4 linked regions of the Schizosaccharomyces pombe genome follow. The gene in region 3 interacts genetically with the main gene of each other region. Each region holds a gene or a part of one and is shown on either strand. Other genes may lie near its edges. The genes, in order: mms19, fin1, spf1 and tim18.

Region 1 (6,018 bases), on a different chromosome or scaffold from region 3:
AATGTCGTCTGTTGTTTTGGCATCAGCGCTTAGCAATAATTTCATAGCTCAGAAAAAGGCTTTAGAAATGAATATTATGCCAAAAATTGTGAACACTTTACGGCAGGAAAACCACCCAGTTACATTACTGAAGAAACTTTTCCTATTAAGTAAATCTGTCCAATCTTTTCCTTTATCTGAGGCTTTCATTAGTAAAGATTTAGGATCGGCTATTCTTCTTCAGTTGTATGATTTTTGGTCGAGAAACAGCCATATTGATATTCCTTCTGCTTTTCAGGAGAAACTGCTAAGTAGGTTGTCCATCATCTTTGAAAATATTGCTCGTTCGTTGGAAAATGTCAATTTTAGCAAAGCTTCTAAAGTTATCCCAATAGAGTGGGTATTTTCGACTTGGTGTAGCATCTTTCAAAAGTACTTGATGAATAATTGGCATTTACGCTCAATTTCAACGCTCGAGGTTCTACTTAACACCGTATCAACAATTCAAAGTGTTAGTGAGAGTTGTCCCGAAGTTAACTTTTATGAATGGTTAAACGATAAAAATTTGGCGTACAAAAATAAATTAATTTATCAAGATCCAGATCTTGCTACTGAATTTAATTTAATTATAAAAGAAGCTTTATCTCTTCCTTGGCCTAAAAAATACAATATTTAACGTTTTTATTTTTCAAAAATGACTTATCAAAATCTCTCTTTATATATACCACTTATGACGAGTTCGACTTGCTTCAGTCCTTACAACCCTATATTATTCATTAGCATTTTGTAGTTAACAGTTATTCTTTTCACTAAAAATGAATGGTTCTTACCTTTTAGGATCATCCAAGCATGGTATGAGTCCACGAATTACTTTATCTCTAAATAGTTGTAAATTCGTGGTAGGAGTAAACTCTGGCAGACTTCCAAGACACTTAAGGGCTAAAAGACGAACAACAGTTGGATTATTCATATCCTTAGGGATTGCCAAAAGCGAAGGAATTAAAGTATCAAGATATTCCGTCAATAATGAAGTCAATTCTTTAACCGAAGTATGTATAACGTTCAACGTCGAAAGTTTAACACTAATATCAGACAGTGAAAGACATTGAAGTAGAAGTGGAAGGATAGATGGCATATCTGGAATTACAATTTCTTTTGGCACATTTCCTATCACATTAGAAAGAAGCATTAAATACAAAGACTTTTCTCCTCCAGTAGCAGTTGAAATGTGTTCTAAAATCTTAGGACTAACACTAGCGTAAAAACGTTGTTTGTATAACAGCTTTTCGACATATGAATTCTCCTTGGACAACGCAGGATCGTCTTTGATAATTATTGAAAGTGCCTTGACCGAAGAATCTCCGACATTTTGTAAATTCAAAGTATCCAATAATTTAAAAGCCAAAGGAATGCCCTCGCTATGCTTTCTAGAGACCAAAGCTTTGTCAACCCACGCCAGCACATCGAGTGCAGCTTCAGATTCCTTTGGAGTTCCAGTATAAACTTTATCCCACAAAGACGTGACTCCCTTCGAAGATATAAAACTTGATATATCTTCGTCTTTTTCACATTTGTTAATAAGCGAGGATATGAGACGTAAAGCGCTAATTTTAACGCCAGGACTTTCCGTAACAAAAACAACATTTATGAGTAAATTCAACAACTCAATATTCAACTTTTCGATAAAATGTAATTTTTTACTCAATCCATTAAGACCACCCTGTAATAATACCACTAAATTTAAAAATTTCTGATCACTTAAAGATGCTGCAAGCGTAAATCTTTCTGCAGCTTTTTCACAACCTTCAGTTTCAATTAAGTCGGAATTGGAATTCTCCATATATAATTTCCATAATTGACCAACAAACTTTTCTTGAAATTCAAAATGGTTTACTCTCACTATCTCATTTATTGTCTGTGATACATAAATAAGGCATCTCACATTCATTGACTCGCAATTAGCGAAACAAAGGGTAAAAAGTTGCTTCAGTAGTTCTTCAAAAAAGAATGGAATCTCTTGTTCATTTCGATCATTTCTTTCCTTAAAGGCAACGGATAAACTTTGAACAATTGATTCGACAAGATCAACACTCATTTCCTTGGATTTAAATTGATCTTTCAACATCTCAACAAGTCTGATGACAAGGGCCTTAAACAAACTCCTTTCTTCAGATATTGAGACTAGTACCGATAAATATTGCTTAAAAGTTTCTTCAGAAGATGACTTAGCAGTAACATCATCAGTTAATTTTGAAAATGCGAAAGGAAATGAAGTCAAAAGTAAAAAGTCGGGCTTTAGTAACCCTAAATCCTTCAAACATTCTGTTGCCTTTTTCTTAATAGGATCGGAAAAGTCAAATGCTATGTCATCCAAAAATTGAAGTACCATGGTTAATTCACTCTCTGTTAGGAAGTTCTTGATCGAAGCCATTAAAAAAATAACCTTTAAAGCCAACATGCGTATTTCAGTTTCATCTTTGGCTGTTCCCATCAAGGAGCCTGATACAAAACTAAGTTGCTTGTCTTTGTAAACAAGTAGCGGGTTGTCAATATCAGCCTGGTTTTTGCTTCTCCACTTTCCGTATAAAAGTACCAAACATTTATAGACGTATTCCAAAAAAACTAGCATCCCTTTTTGTTTCTCCAATGGTTCATTTACCATTGGTAGATCGAGAACACTGGGTAAAAAATTGCATGAACAATAATTGAATGTTTCCACAGAGATAGAAGCCAAGGAAGCAAATACAGCTGCACAAGATCCGCAAGATTTAACATTAACATCTTCGAGTAAACGCTGTGATAATTGGATCAAAATCATATCCACAAACTCTGTGAACGAAGATGAAAACCCTTCCTCTTTATAAAATTTACTAGCTAAAGTATTGAGTGCACCAAGCGCCAAATTTTGAAGTTCAGCATCTGTCGAATTTAGTATTTCTTGCTTAATAGATTCCCAAAAGTCTTTAGCAGACCATAAATAAGCACCCACGCGCCAAGTTTTGCAAGCTTCTATATAAATGTTTAATGCATCGATTTTTATGCGAACAGTTGAAGCCTTCAGCCTTTCAAATAAAGCAGGAAGAAGTAATTTTGAAAACGCGTCGTTAGCAACCAAGGTTTCTCTACAAAGGACGGTTAGCAATAGTTCACATGTCATGATGCCTTACCGGAGAGCTATTTTAAGATCGTCGCTAGTAATAGCCAAATTGGTGGCATCAGGCGGAGCACGGAAAGTGATCGGGAAATAACAATAAGTGATATCAAAGAATTGCTACATGTAAGTAATTTCATTAGGCGATTAACAATGAGATCCATACCTGTTCAAATCCGTCAATGGGGAATGTAGAAAGTATTTTTTTAAGCATAGAAAAGACCAGCATAAGATTACGAGGGTCTTTCTCACCAGCAAAAGTTGAACAAATTCCAGAGAAGAAAGCATCGCGAGTTTGTGAAGAGATGACTGAGAACTAAGTTAATTGATGACTCTCCAAAAAGATCCTTACAGAAAAGATAATTATCTATAATGGTTTCAAATACTTTTAAAATGTTTAAACGAGTTGCTTGAGCATATTTTGGCATGTCAGTGGAACTGAAGAGAGCCTTACAAACATCCACAATCTTTTGAGCAGGGAAGTTTTGCATGTTTAGAAGAGCTCCAATACCTAACGCATTCTCCTTCATTGTAACTTCATCATCCAAACGACTCAAGTAAAACTGAAGAAGTACAGATACATGTTTCGCAGGAAGTCTATCTTTAGGAAGCTCACCTAAAGTTTGTGACAGTAATAAAACTGCTTTTGCTCTAACAGAGATATTGTTGTCAGTTAAATACTCTCCAATTGAAGTAACCAAATCGACAATCCCCATTCTGTCAGTGACAATTTCTTCGACAATTCGATCTACAACGTCGTTTGCCTCATCCTGACTTCTATCAATAGAAAATAAATATAAAGCCACTAAATTCGAGCTCATCTTCCTCAAATTTAATATGTACTATTATGCTAACAATTTTCTATACAATAAACACTATAAGAAAAAACAGAATTTCAAAAATTGAGAAGCAGAGATTAGAAACCTTGTCCTCTTTTTCGAAGCTGACTTTCTTCTAGCTAGTAGGTAGACGGCACTCTTCCTCAGTAGATCGTTGAAACGTCTCTCAGAAAATGTGGTTAACAATGGCAAATTGCAAAATGTCATTTGCTATGTATGCTTTCTTTACCGAAGCGAAGTTAAACTAATTAAAGTATTTAGATAATCTGATAAGAATTTGTGTAAATTAAATTGCTTAAATCCATGAATTAAAGAAATTAGAAGAAAGATCGGATATTATTTTCTTTTTTTAAAAATTTGTTTCTTTTTAGCAAATCTCTACTTCAAGATTTTACAATCATACACAAAAACCTTTATTCCATCGTTATATATAGTCACTACATATTAACGATCCTTAAACCACTGCGCTATGTATTCCCTCTCTTACCAAAATTTGAACCGACAGCAAAGTAAAAAGAGGATGCAAAGTTTTAACATTTACTTGAGAAATTGATCAATAAGCATATAAGTATTTAATATAATTATCATCTTAAATTCTCTGTTAGTCCTGGTATGGAAGTTTCGGAGACAGACGAACATCTTACTCGTTTAAACCAGGCTCGAGATATTGTTAAAACTGATCAAAGCCTTTTTCCAGAAATCGTGAGAAACATTCTTTCTGTGGCAAACTATTCTGATATAAGGTATAAAAAATGGATGGCAAATTTCCTCTGGTTTGGATTTTCGAGCAAAAATGTTAAATTTGAGCAGAAATTGGATTTAGCTGTAACTTGTCTAGATACAATTGTTTCTCTGTACGCAGTAGATAATGAAGAAGTTAAAAAAGACGTTATATCTTGTTCTTGCACAATCTACCCACTAGTATTTCTGCACTGTTGTACTTCACCTAACGATTCATCTACCTGGGACACTTTAACGAAGCTAAAAAACGAAATCATTAATGACTTTGACAAAGGGAACAAGCCTCTTTTAATTTCTTGTATTAAATTTATTTCTTGTGTAATTTTAACGCAAGTGCCTGGGATTCGAGATCCCCGTCTTGTAACTAAATCGGACGTGTCTCTTTCTAAGGTTCCCACACATCATCCTTTTATCAATTCAAATATCCTCAGAATAGAAGCAAATGACTTAATTGAAAAAATATTTTCCATCCTTTTCTCGGATTCTTTGAATGTCCTTTACATTACTAGCGTTTTGAATATCTTACCGGTTTTGGTGAAGCGACGGAAGGAACTAGCACCAAAAATCATAGGAAGCTTGTTAGAATTTCATCTTCCGAATCCAAAAGATGAAATTGAGCTGTCGAACGAAAGCAAGTTAGCTATACGGTGTATTGAAAAAAATCTAAAACTTATTTTACTTCATTTAGCTAAGAGTACAGGTGCATCTTCTTCTTCCGTCGAAAAAATTCACGCTTATCTTTCCGGACAAATTTATCATACCAAAGTCGATGAAAGTTTGAAGAAACGGCAATATGAGGGAAATATTAGTGCTGCCTCTAAGCGTGTTAAGTCTTCTGCTGTACAAAGTCTTGTAGAAAGAATGCAACCCCAACTTAGCTCTCACGATGGTTTGCAAAATAATCCCTTAATCAGCATATTTGCTTCACAAACTGCTATAAATCCTCTTGCAAATTTTGATGTAACTTCAATTCCGGTTGAAGTGGCTACTGAAATTGTACTTACTTCTCTTCTTAAGATAGACAAAAACTACTTTCATCAGCAAATTAATATGTTGAGAGAGAGAGTGCGCTCTCTCTCTGAGCCTGAATCCCTTGGTCTTGATCAACAAGTTGATGAAGACGAGGACGAGGATTATGAACCGCCTGAGGTAGATGTTCAGACTATCAATGCTAGTGTAGAACGTGAAGCAGCTCGACTAGAGGGAAGTGCTCCCTCCAATGTCGTTACTGATGCGTTTGAATTACCCACTCCAGATTCGCTGTCCCCGATGGCTATTCTAGAATACTTTCACGGTGCCTTATCCAGA
Region 2 (5,310 bases), on a different chromosome or scaffold from region 3:
GTATGTAAATAAAATGAAATAACAATGAATGACTAACTTTCATACTTCTACATTACAACTAAGTATTTATATGTGTTTGTCAATTACTAGTTTGTACTATATTCTGCTATTTTCATCATTGCTATTATCAATCCGTCAAGTGGTTAATTGATTCATCCCTCATTTGGAATCCTATTTGTGTCACTTCGTATACCATTAATATCCTTTTTTCTGCCACCCGAAATTGTAAAAATTTTTTTTACTTCTATTACTTCCACTTTGTTTTCTTTCTAGACTATTTTTGATGCCGCTTCCATAATCGGCTTCTTTTTGATAAGTCATCTCTCCAGATACCAGATATCTACTCATATACGAATTTACGTATATCTCCATTTATTATCTACGCAACTTATCCTTACACCAAAAAAAAAACAGTCTCTCTTGTCAAGGCTGGCGTTTCGTAGTTTTAGCTAATTCTTTGGTTCTCTCTAATTACTACATCCATGAATTTTTGTTTCTGTGTAATATTATTTCAAAAATTATAAAATTAAATTCCATTTACAATACGGCTCATTCGAATTTGGGGAAAAATATTGTTATTCAAAATTTCCTAATCATCTAAATGTGTACTGTTAAAAGGCTCAATTTACTAGCATCTCATATTCGAGAACTTGTAGATGCAAATATCGTGTTTGTATTCCTTTATTAGTAATAAACTTCGTGATAAACGCTGACCAGCAGTGTTTCATTTCTTTGAATAAATAGAAAACCAATCCTTATAATTAGGGGAAGTTCAACACGGTACGCATTTCAATAATTTCATTTACATTTGGGCCTTTATTTTTTGCTGTATTTTTTTTTTAGTACGCATTTGTGCTAATATAATTCTCGTACAATTAAATGCACCTTAGGGAACTTTACTTAAGCCCTCATCATTCGGGCGTCAAGCATTTTTCGTAGAAAGGGTCTTGGAATTTCTTCTTCATCATCTCTCCAAGACCCGGGTAGTGTTCGAGACTGTAAGCTAGTATAGTTCGAAGTAGATGCCGCCTTTCGTAGTTCCAATCCTGCATTGTCCATCGCTGATCGTCGAAGCTTGTTGTAACCAAGTCTTCCCAGCTGTTTTACAGGCGACCGCTTTTGTCCTTCCAACAGTTGTATCTTTTTCGGAGTCCGTAACACATACTCGTCGGGGTGTTGATTGATCTTCATCGTCTTAAAATTGCCATCCATTTCATTTTCTCTTGCTATCTTCTCTTCAGCATGAACATCATAAGGTGACGCTAGTGATGGTAAAGCATAGCCATGTAAGGTTTTTGAAGCTTTCGAAGGTTTCGACACTTCGTCCGAACGAATATTCAACTTTTCGAGTTTCTCCACATAAAGACTCTGCGGAGAAGGTGGGTGGACAAAAACAGACTTTGACTTCGTATCAGTCAACGTTGAATCAGTCGGGACGGATTCACCACTTGAAGCACTCACTGCCGTTTCATCGCTCTCTACGCTAAGTTTGCTAACTTTTCGATTTGGTAAACCTTCACCGTCTGAAAATTTATTACACAATTCAGAAGGGCTTAGCTTCTTTCCGTCCAAAGATGTGTGCAGCAACTTGTTCATGCAATCCGCCACTTGATTCGACGTGCCGTTTTTTTGCTGTAACGATGTAATTTGGCCATCTTTATCAATAGGTGTAGTCCTTAGAGATGACGCATTAGCTCTGTATTTCATTAATGTTGCAGTCGTATGTAAGGCTCTGCTTGATAATTCTTTACGGAGAGTAGGTCTTTTCAATATCGGTTGTTGTGTAGTTAGAGTGAAACCCGGACACGATAACGTTTGCAAGGGCTTGCTAATTCCTAACTTAGGAATATGAAGTAGGGGGGATTGTGATGCTTCAATTGTACAATCTACAAACATCTCAGCGGTACTGCTTTCAGGTTGTTCATTATGATCCACAGGACTTGTAACACGCATTTTCTGCATAGAGTTTACTACGGTTTGCATGTGTCTTTGATAACGAGCATCCATGTCACGCAGTTGCTTTTCCAACTCACGTCGCAATATCTCTTCACGTTGGGCTAAGCGAGAAGCTATAACGTTTTCGAGTTCACTTTCCCGAGCAGAAAGCCTTTGCTCGCGAAATTGGAGATCATTTTCCAATTGAATAAGCATCTGATGTTTTTTATGAAGCAAATCGCTTTGTTCCAAGACTACTCTCTCGGATTCCAATTTACTACGAATATCGGATAAAATAGGAGAGCGAAGTAGCTGGTAAGTAGTAGGTCTGAGGTCTGAATTAACTTCTAAGCAATGCCTGATTAGAAGGAAAACATCGTCGCTGTAATGATGATCCCAACAGGAGAGATTACCCTGGCAAATATTACGTTGCAATTCCAAATACGACCTTCCTTCAAAGGGATGCGTAAGCATGCAGATCTCAAAAATAACACAGCCAAGAGCCCAAACATCAGACTTCGCACTGTAAGGGCTGCTCCGAATTATTTCAGGAGACATATAGTATGGAGTTCCCACGTAACTCTGTGTGAAGACACGCGTATTGTCCAGCAATTTGGATAAACCAAAGTCTCCTAACTTAACTGAATTATTTTCATCAAGAAATATATTCGCAGGTTTGATATCTCGATGCAATACAGATTGTTTAGGATGAAAAATTTCTCTTGGCCACTGTGAGTCACAAGCAGGCGCATTTTCTCCATAATGGCAGCGATACAGAGCAAGTAGTAATTGCGTAAAAAATTTGAGAACCTCTTGCTCGGTAAATCTCTTTTTCTCTTCTTTATAACGTTGAATAAGATTGGCTAAATCACCATGACCACAATATTCCATATAAAGGTTTATTACCTGCGCAGAACGATTCAATTCTTCTCCGCAGTATTGAACAATATTTGGATGCTTAAGATTACGAAGAATATTCACTTCATCTGCGATGTACTGCTTTTCCTGCCGAGTAATGTTACCAAAGTGTATTTCCTTCTGAGCCAAAAGCTAAAAAGTATTAATAACTATAAAAATAAATTGCTTTCAAACTTACAGCACCATCCTTTAAGCGTTGAACCTATAATAGTTAGCATAATGCATAAAAAAGGAGTTGCAAAAAAAAATATCGATCAAAGTTTCAATTTGAAAAACTGTTTTGAATAGAGTACAAACAATAGCGAAAAGCATTTAAATCAATATAGTTTCCCTGTTTCTTAAGAAAACAATTGATTCAATGCTATAGATTCATTTGCCAACCACAAGTAGTTGCTCGCAAATAAACTGAAAACAAGAAAGAATTTTGCTATCCAATAACCAATTTCAGTGAAAATAAGATTAAAACTTACTTTATAAATCCTTCCAAAACTCCCATGTCCAATACACTCAAGAATCTTGTATTTTTCCATACTTCAGAACAGAAGTAGCCCATGAGATTCAGGTAAGCTTAAAATAAAACTAAATTTCTCGGTAGGACCTTTAAAGAAAAAGAAAAATTCTTCTATCAATTAATAATATAAAAAATACTGCTTGGAGTGATTGAGTGCTAAGTATATGAATTTCAAGCCAAGATGTTTATGTTTGGTTCTTCTGCAGTGTCTCGTTAAATCATCAAGTGTAAACAATGTTGCCATGGTTAGGAGTAACACTGTTACTTCAGGTGCTTATTGCTACGATTATAATATATATCCAGTCGCATTTTAATTTCTGTAAGAAAAAGATACGCTATTCAATAAGCAATGAGAAAAAGTTGTGGAGAATTTTTATCATCTATAATGCCTTTTATGACATGATTGTATAAGGTTTGTTGTAAATGAGCTTGGAATTTAACAGAGTCCTTTAAATCAAGTTTTAAAAAAATGAATAGCTAAACGTATTAATATTAGTTTGAGGCTTTCAAAAGATTTATCTGCATGTTTTATAAAAATCAATAGCATTAACAATAAACTGTTATTTTGCGTTAATTGGTTTTAGTGATCTACGCTAGGCTTCATGATTCATTCCATGCAAGCCATCTCCTTCAAATGAACTTACCGCTAATTTATATACGTTGCAAAACATATGTTACACAACAGTCTATCACAAGACTCTAGTAATATTGCCGGAAACATGTCTTTTGGGGGAAGTGGTTCTATCACGAATCGATCAACCTTAAAGCCACTTTCTGTCGATGATTTACGTTCGCCCTCTCCTCAAAAAGAATATCGTGGATTTCGAACATCTGTTTCTAACATTCCACAAGAAAAAAAATTTGTTCCCAGTCATCTTTCACACTTTGGATCAAGTCAGCAGCGTCGATTTGCCCCAGAGGTTAGCTCGCCTTTAGCAGAACCATATGAGTCATCGTAAGTAATTTCTTTGAAGAGTTTAAGGGACATTTGAAGACGGAGGATTAAAAAATTGTTTAGTATAATTGCTTTTTTACCTAATATCTATCTATATCCAAATTTGTTAGAGCTTCAGCCTAATCCCTATGAATTTTTAAATATTAGACATAAACTCTTAGAACCTTTACTAATTTTCTCTAAATAGCTCTTCCTTCCGTTTATCTCTCTCGAGTCCCCCTTCTTCAAAATTCGGCGGACCCAGCTTTGGTACACCGAAACCGTTTTTGCATACAAATCGTTTAGGTACCGGATCTTTAATTGAAGATGCTCCTCCTACTCAATCCATTTATGACTTTTCTTCCTCTAGGCAAATTAATGCTCTCAATGTTGGACAAAGTTCTTCCCCTTTTTCTCCTGTCTCTGAAAAGGTATACGACCCTTCTTTTACCATGTCTGGCGCTCCTCAAGATTCAAATACCTCCGTTATCGTTTTCGGTTTCCCACCAGAATTGACAAATCAAGTAATAGCTGAATTTTCTCGTTTTGGAACTATTATTAGCGAGAATTCATTAACTGCTTCAAGTGCCGGATTCACTCCCTCCAAGGGTCCCATATCTGGTAACTGGCTACAATTAACATATGCTGAGCCTTCTTCTGCTGCCAAAGCAGTTTTGTCTAACGGAATGTTGATAAATGACTCTTTTATGGTTGGATGTATATACAGCCCCGCAGAAGCGAAGGAGCATGTTCCGAAAACGTTAAGAAACAGCAATAAAGACTTGGAAATGACGGATGCCTCTTCCTCCGAAACCTCAATGTCTATTCCCGTGCATGCTGATGCCCATTTCCAATCCCAATCTGGTCTTGGTAAAAAAGTCATTGTTCAACACAAAAATGATATTTTTAAATCTTCTCAGAAACATCAACCTCGTAATTGGTTATTTCATTATTTATTTGGTTTTGGTTCAACTGAGCCAATAGATGAGGAAGAAAAATCTAAAACTGCTTC
Region 3 (4,277 bases):
ATGAATGTAAAAATAGTGGAATAATGGATATATCCATTTAGGCATGATTTGGCGAACTCTCACCCAACGATAGTCCTCTGCTCCTCGATTATAACCTCCTTTACGGTAATAATTGTAAGTAAGACGCGCGGACCATAGAGTCTGCAAAAATGCCATAATCATTAATCTTCGCGAAGCAATGTTGTATCCCAAACCATAAAACAGAAAATGCAAGGAAAAAGCCGTTGGCAGAATTGGCCATAGCCGATCCACTTGCGATGTATTTTTCGTCCAAACAGACACTCCCCAAAGCACATTTCCCAAAATAAATGAGAGAAGTAGTCCTACAACAAATGGATTCGTATTATAATAAAAATCTGCAAAATTCAACTTTCCAGTAAACAGTAACTTCAAATTGCTCAGTTGATACAGGTAAGGAGATACTGCAACTTTCCATTTTGCGGCATCAGATGCCGAATAAATAATTGGCATGGTGGATGCCAAAGTCATAGTGCTCGTTTGAAAAAGAACAATGGGAATGTCAGAAAGTTGGCTTTCTATAGCTCCACGAAATCCTCTGTCTCATTGTGACGTTAGCTTCTGGAATAAGAAGGATTAGTGAAATCCAAGGAGCCTGCGTTTTCCAAAAAATAAAATAAAATAAATTTCAAAACAAAAGAGAGAGAAAACCTCAAGGCCATTAAGACATGAGTTGATAAAAAGAGAGGGTGTAGAATGTATGTCCTTATGTTAAAAAGTGACTTTTTAGAAGGAAAAACCAAATTACCATCTGTCAACATTATTTTGCGAAACAGGGAGTCAATAAATTTAAAGCCAAAATTAAGAGACAAATGCCAAGCAATATAAACTTTTCTTTCATTAACATTTGCGAATCAATGCCTCGTGATTTACATGAAATGATCTAGAAATTAAAGCAAACTTCAAAATTGTAAATTAAACCAAAAGATGCATCCTTCTGTTTATTTTAATAAATTAGCCATTTTTTCGGGAGATAACTGTTCATGACAAAATCGAGCATAACCGTCGTATTGTATCCCGGGTAGGCACCTCTGTTTTTGATGCTCCAACATTACATCTTTGGCAGTTTGCTTCATGTTTAGTTTTTGTAAAATATTACTTTCTTGCAACTCAAAATCTTCGGTAAAAATTACCTGCCAGCTTGTGTGCTTTGCACATCTTCGCTTCTCTGTAAAGCAGGTGGACTCAGGAGAAGGATCTATACTCATGTCAAGAGATAGCGGTGCTCCATTTGAAACTTTTTCCCACAATTCATTCATTTGTTGTTGATTGAATAAAAGTCGAGAATCGAATCCACACAGATCTTTCTTAATACCTTCTCTTTCTTTGTAAGCAAGAACCGCTCTCCGCGAAGAATCTTTGATCAACTGAAGAAATATTTTTTTGTTAGATGCTACTTCTTTCTCTTTATTTAATTGCACAATTTCTGCGTTCAGCCTATTGGCCTCCTCAATTTCAAAATTGTACACAACTTCAGGAGGAACTTGGCTTGGCAATGTCGGTCCCACCGTACCCAAATTTTGAAATTCTTCCCTTTTTTTTGCAAACAATACAAGATTTTTTATAGCAGAAGGTTCAACCGTACTCAGCTTTACTTTTTCTCGAAAAAAATCGACTCCATGTTTATCACTACAATAGTTGGAATTAGGTCTTGTGGGATTCGAGCATTCTCGTAACCGGCATTTTCTTTTCCAAGTAGTTATACCCTTTCCTTCTTCTGTGCATTTAGGACAAAAGTACTGTACAGTTAAATCATTATAAGATTCAGGTATATTAACGCAAGTGCCATGAAACCAATCTTCGCAACCATCACATCCTAACATCCATGATCCATCATCAGGCTTTTGGCATATACAATACAATGGTCTTTGATGATCGGCTGTAGACAGATTGAGTTGGCTATTCGCATTTCCTCGGTGTTTTCGTGGACCCCTTCTATGAGCTGATACGGGTGGTTTTTTGGGTATTGTAGGCTGTTGAATGACTTGCATTTCTATGTCTGTTTCCGTTGAGGAAGAATCAACGTGACCGTTGACTTCTTCAACCTCCATTTTAACAGATTTATTGAGAATTACGTTGGCGTCTTTCTCTTCCTCATTGTTAGCTGTCTCGATATGAAAATCAGTAATGGTGCCTCTATTCGAATCCTCAAATTTTACAATTGATTCTACATGAGTTTTTTCATTTTCCTCAGTATTCTCTTGCGTTAATTCCATTATTGGAATTTCAGTTGTCTAAGTCTGTCAATAAGTAAAATCTAAAGAAAGCGAGCTTAAGCACAGTACACTAAATGCATTAAAAGGAACTACAAGCCAAACCAAAATACAAAAGAAATGGGGTCTGTCAAAACAAGTTGAAATTTAAACAAGTCGTATATTAATATCAAGCTTAATTAAAGGAGACAATTATTTCAACCTTGACGGACGAACTAACCATGCCTATATAACTCACAGAGGTTACTGCGGTATCTTCAAGAAGATTAAACAAAAAAAAAAAAAAAGGAAAGAACGCAAATACACCAAATAATAAATATTTTTAGCCCAGATAATCTCATCCAAGACAATCACTAATGTAGCAGAATTGGATAGAAAACAAGACAAAACTGCAAAAGAAGATTCCATTAAATTTCGTGAAATTAAATCAAATACTCATAAACACCCAAATATTAACCCAATTTGCGAAGGCCAGCTCGTGTTCTGTGTAGCTTTTTTTGGTTTGCATATGCTTCATTAGAAAGCTCGTCTAACATGGAGTTTTGCTCGACAACTTCTTGATTAATCATTTTCGAAAGCTCCTTCTGCCTTTGAATAATAGGCAATAACGATTCTGCTTGCATATCTTGATCTTCCATAGTTTGATTCTGCATGTTGTACAGTCCTACATTATCAAGCTTTTTTGTTGTCTGTGTCTCTGGCATTCTGTTTTTTCCAAGGACTCTGTTCAAAGAGGTATTAGATTGTTTGTCAGTAGATGCAGATAATGGGCGAAAGGGAGAACTAGGATTAGAAGAGTTTAATTGAGATGAGGCAGAAGGAGGAGCGACTGGGCTGTTTGCATTTTTAACTAACCGTTTAAATGACAAGAATTCAGAACCAAGCTGTTCTAACATATCTTTTCGTCGAAGGATTTCTCCTGGACCAAGAGCATTTGCTAATTCTAATTTGTCTAACGATTCTGAAAGGTTATCCATTAGCGACTTTATTGCATAGACATTCTTTGTTTGAACTCCTATCGTAATGCTTTTTCCACTCATTAAGTCAACTCGGTACATATGTAAATTACGTTTACAATCTTGAAATACTTGAATCCAATCTGTCGGACCCAAAAACTGACCCTGTGTTTCATCTTCCGATTCATCTTTAATATTTAGAAATTTTTTAACCACAGGCATTTTTATCCATGGCGTTTCTGAAAGGCATTGAACGTAAGCTTGTAAAGCAAGTCGTCGAGATTCACGTAACTTTTCATTTGTCACAGTTGAAGAAACCCAAGATTTAGAGGGGAGTTTGCAAAGTCTACTGTTGTAGTCATTTGGCCGAATTTGAGCATCCAAAGCAACGAATTCATTGAACCGACGAAATACAACATGTTTCCCACCATTCGGAAATGCTACTTCAATATGGTAAACCGTCCATCGTGAATATTCATCAGAAGACTAGTTGTAAGTAAAAATTAAAGGAATAAAGCTTACTTGAGACGTTTCTGGTATTTTAATTTTTAGCGCCATACTTGCTATGAACAGGTTGATCAACAATGAGTTCATGAACAACAGACTACTGTATCGGATTTACTGCACTATCGTTATAAAACTGTATAATGTAGAATTTGAGCTTTCAAATAGTATAGGTTCTATTAGTTGAATAAAGATAAATTTCAGTTTCATGATGCTTTAGATCCTTTAAACCTCATGTTTTCCTTGATGCGCGAGATGCCTTTACGATTATCGAATTGGCAGGTATTGAAAGAAAGTTTACCAGTTTGCAATAGATTTAGAAATTAAAATAATGAATTAGGTTAGTATATTATCTTATACCTTTAAACACTTTATAGTCAGATTATTGAGTATTTTTTTTGGCACTCGTGAACGGTGCAACTTACAAGTAATTACAATACCTAAACAGAAGAACGGCAAAATCTTAACGAAGCTTAGTAATAAACAGAAATTGTTTATTTTCTATATTTTCCTACATGGATTGGTTGCAAGCGCGACTTGCCTAAAGTATTAAAAGCACAGAATAAACGCCAGATCGTAACATTAT
Region 4 (2,899 bases), on a different chromosome or scaffold from region 3:
AGAACGTTATGTAAATATCGAAAATTGTAACGCAACATTCGATAAATGAGATTAAAACGGTAAACGTTAGAGCATGTCTTCTAATACCTTATCAAAGAATAAGGGAACGAAGCGTACATGGGTAAATTGTTGACCCATTCTAAACGATAAATAATAAATGGGACACCCAATAAAATAATTCAATGGATTTTGTCTTGGAAGAATTATTAATTCAAGTCGACATAAGGACCTTAACAAGAGCTGCCACAAACTTGAATAGTCTTCTAACCACTCCCACTAGAAAAATTATCGTTGAAGGTAAACATAAACATACTGTGCAAGCGCTAAACAGATTTACACAGATAAATTGAGAGGATCAATCAAGCCAGAAATCAAGAAAAGAGCAAAGATCAACTGCAGAATATCAATTGGCAGTTTTGGGGTTTGAACTGGTAAGTTTCAAGCCCAAAACTTACTAGATGACGGATTAAGGAGAATAAAAAAGAAAAAGGAAAGGAATAATCATTATGAAAAAATAAGTGGGGTTATATGGGTTTGCATGGAAAGAAGCTTAAGATTTCCAAAGCTTTTTAATACCCTCCGTAAGGCCAATATCATTCGTGTTGAACTCATAGACGCCAATAAGTGTAAGAACAGTACATCCACGTAAGATCCAGTGCATCAAAGGAGATAACTTCTTAAATCTTCTTGCAGGGAAGTAGTCAATCACACAAGATTCAAACCCCAAGTGGGCATGCGTAATCAAGGTGCAAGCCAATGCAGCGTCCATTAAGGGATGAGAAGTTCCGGTGAACAAAGGGATCATGACTTGAGGAACCATGGCAATAGCAATAATTCTTTCAAAGTCCCAATGATAGCTTCCGTGGAGCTTACTGTGGTGAGGGAAAACAGCAGCATCATTAACAGTTCCCTTAATGGTCTGAGGGGGAGGAGGGAAAATTTTCGCAACACTGGTTGTGCTAAAAGATTTAACTGCAAAAAGAAGACGTCCTTGACGAAGTGCTCCAAGTCCTAAACGTGTTTGTAACATATTGTTTGTAAACCAAGAAAAGCTGGTGGTGGTAGTAGGTGAGTTCGTATTGGCGGATCTTGTGTCCACATTATTGGCCATTCAACAGCTCGATGTGTTGAGCTTGGAGTGGCCGGAAATAGGCGATGAGAACCTAAATCTATCTACTCATAAACGAAAAATTGTATAACATAGAGTAAAGACTAGAAATTTAAATAGATATAATAGATTAATAAGTTTATTCAGAAGAATCTCCGGTCTTTAAGGTCGTTTCAAAACCTGGTTATTACTTTTTATAATAATATTATTCACTGCTGAAAACGAATTACCTTCTACATATAATATTACATGGGTTTTGTGGTGAGTTTGAATATCTATTATAATATTACACAGTACCAAAAGTTACTGCAGTTTCAAAAAAAATTTTACGGAAAGCACTACATTGTGAAAAAACAATAATCTACTGTAAATCTTTTTACTTAATAATATAATATAGATAAAGCTATAGAAATTTACTTGTAGCAATTATGCTAATATAAAGGTGCTGCATTGGCTTAAAAAAAGGTTAGAGAAACGGTTTTAAGAGGATGAAAATTTTATTTAAATTAATATCATTTATATAAAAAACTATTCTCATAAAAAGAAACCATCAAGCTACTCAATAGTCGATGTATAACAATGCTTGATTCGGTGCTAGTCAAAATTCTATAGTTGGACTGTTATTTTTTTAAAAATGTATTAACCGAAATATTGTAATGGAAATCATGGAAAAGAGAATTTCGTTAAGTATAAATAACCTTTTAATGTAGATGAATACGAACTTAACCTGATGAAGTGTCTTACCCTGTCTGATTCAATGTCATATAGATTCTTTTCAATATACCGATGAAACAATATATCCCCTACATAGTTTTTTACCAATGAGATTCTCCATGTTAAGTAGAGATATATTATATCATGAACTGGATTGTACGGTCATTCGTTTCCTTCCTTTATAGCAAATTGCGCACAGGGCAAAGACTAGGCAATCCGAAAGTTTCTGTTTGAATGGTCAACTTCTTATTTTTCTCTACATGGAAATTCTAGTAAGGGATTCAAGGATTGCTAGTTTTCTTTTTTTATTAAATGGGATCAATTGGTCATTTGCCGAAATTCGAACTTGGGACCTCGATAACACGTATTACGCTACACCTCTACGGAATACCTTCTTGCTACCTACTTACCCTTTACCATCCACAGAATCCCACCCAACCAAAGGAGCTTGAATTGATATTACTATGCTGAGGCTTCAGAATTTGCCAAAGCTAGTACGTCGTTTTGCGACTACTGCTTTACCAAAAACAGAAACCACTACTTTAAAAAATGGGCTTACAGTTGCTACGGAACATCATCCGTATGCCCAAACAGCGACCGTCCTTGTGGGCGTTGATGCTGGCTCAAGAGCTGAGACGGCAAAAAATAATGGCGCTGCTCACTTTTTGGAACATTTGGCGTTCAAAGGAACGAAAAATCGCTCCCAAAAAGCATTGGAATTGGAATTTGAAAATACTGGTGCACATTTGAACGCATACACCTCTCGTGAACAAACCGTTTATTATGCACATGCGTTCAAAAACGCTGTACCTAATGCAGTTGCCGTTTTGGCCGATATCCTGACAAATTCAAGCATTTCTGCCTCGGCGGTTGAGCGTGAACGCCAAGTCATCTTAAGAGAGCAAGAAGAGGTTGACAAAATGGCCGATGAAGTAGTCTTTGATCATTTACATGCTACCGCTTATCAGGGTCATCCTCTTGGACGTACAATTTTGGGTCCTAAGGAAAACATCGAATCTCTTACCCGTGAGGACCTTCTCCAGTATATTAAGGACAACTACCGTAGTGATAGAATGA

The links.
Region 1: mutations in spf1 (region 3) and mms19 together harm fitness more than expected from each alone (negative genetic interaction), as found in Schizosaccharomyces pombe (2 studies listed by BioGRID).
Region 2: mutations in spf1 (region 3) and fin1 impair growth when combined (synthetic growth defect), as found in Schizosaccharomyces pombe (2 studies listed by BioGRID, with this or other methods).
Region 4: mutations in spf1 (region 3) and tim18 together harm fitness less than expected from each alone (positive genetic interaction), as found in Schizosaccharomyces pombe (2 studies listed by BioGRID).

The regions. Positions count from the first base shown.
Region 1 is NC_003424.3:3,856,356-3,862,373, reverse strand, and holds mms19 (TFIIH regulator Mms19 ), read right to left. Parts: upstream 4,157-6,018; 5' UTR 3,952-4,156; coding exon 3,483-3,951; exon of another isoform or gene 3,440-3,482; coding exon 3,297-3,439; exon of another isoform or gene 3,251-3,296; coding exon 3,147-3,250; exon of another isoform or gene 3,102-3,146; coding exon 810-3,101; exon of another isoform or gene 744-809; coding exon 695-743; 3' UTR 656-694; downstream 1-655. Other genes in the region: protein Sil1, read left to right, coding at 1-655. UniProt on the Schizosaccharomyces pombe protein: Key component of the cytosolic iron-sulfur protein assembly (CIA) machinery that mediates the incorporation of iron-sulfur cluster into apoproteins specifically involved in DNA metabolism and genomic integrity.
Region 2 is NC_003424.3:1,352,433-1,357,742, reverse strand, and holds fin1 (NIMA-like serine/threonine protein kinase Fin1), read right to left. Parts: upstream 3,523-5,310; 5' UTR 3,384-3,522; coding exon 3,324-3,383; intron 3,056-3,323; coding exon 3,032-3,055; intron 2,986-3,031; coding exon 901-2,985; 3' UTR 559-900; downstream 1-558. Other genes in the region: nucleoporin Nup40, read left to right, coding at 4,084-4,319, 4,507-5,310. UniProt on the Schizosaccharomyces pombe protein: Promotes chromosome condensation and nuclear envelope dynamics during mitosis. Activity appears at metaphase-anaphase transition.
Region 3 is NC_003421.2:363,245-367,521, forward strand, and holds spf1 (Set1C PHD finger subunit Spf1), read right to left. Parts: upstream 2,239-4,277; 5' UTR 2,235-2,238; coding exon 960-2,234; 3' UTR 516-959; downstream 1-515. Other genes in the region: SPOM_SPCC594.04C (steroid oxidoreductase superfamily protein), read right to left, coding at 1-489; vsl1 (SNARE protein Vam7), read right to left, coding at 2,684-3,673, 3,710-3,745. UniProt on the Schizosaccharomyces pombe protein: The Set1 complex specifically methylates 'Lys-4' of histone H3.
Region 4 is NC_003423.3:2,034,231-2,037,129, reverse strand, and holds tim18 (TIM22 inner membrane protein import complex and succinate dehydrogenase (SDH) anchor subunit Tim18), read right to left. Parts: upstream 1,071-2,899; 5' UTR 1,031-1,070; coding exon 551-1,030; downstream 1-550. Other genes in the region: SPOM_SPBC29A3.21 (uncharacterized protein), read right to left, coding at 1-38; MPP complex beta subunit Qcr1, read left to right, coding at 2,287-2,899. UniProt on the Schizosaccharomyces pombe protein: Membrane-anchoring subunit of succinate dehydrogenase (SDH) that is involved in complex II of the mitochondrial electron transport chain and is responsible for transferring electrons from succinate to ubiquinone (coenzyme Q).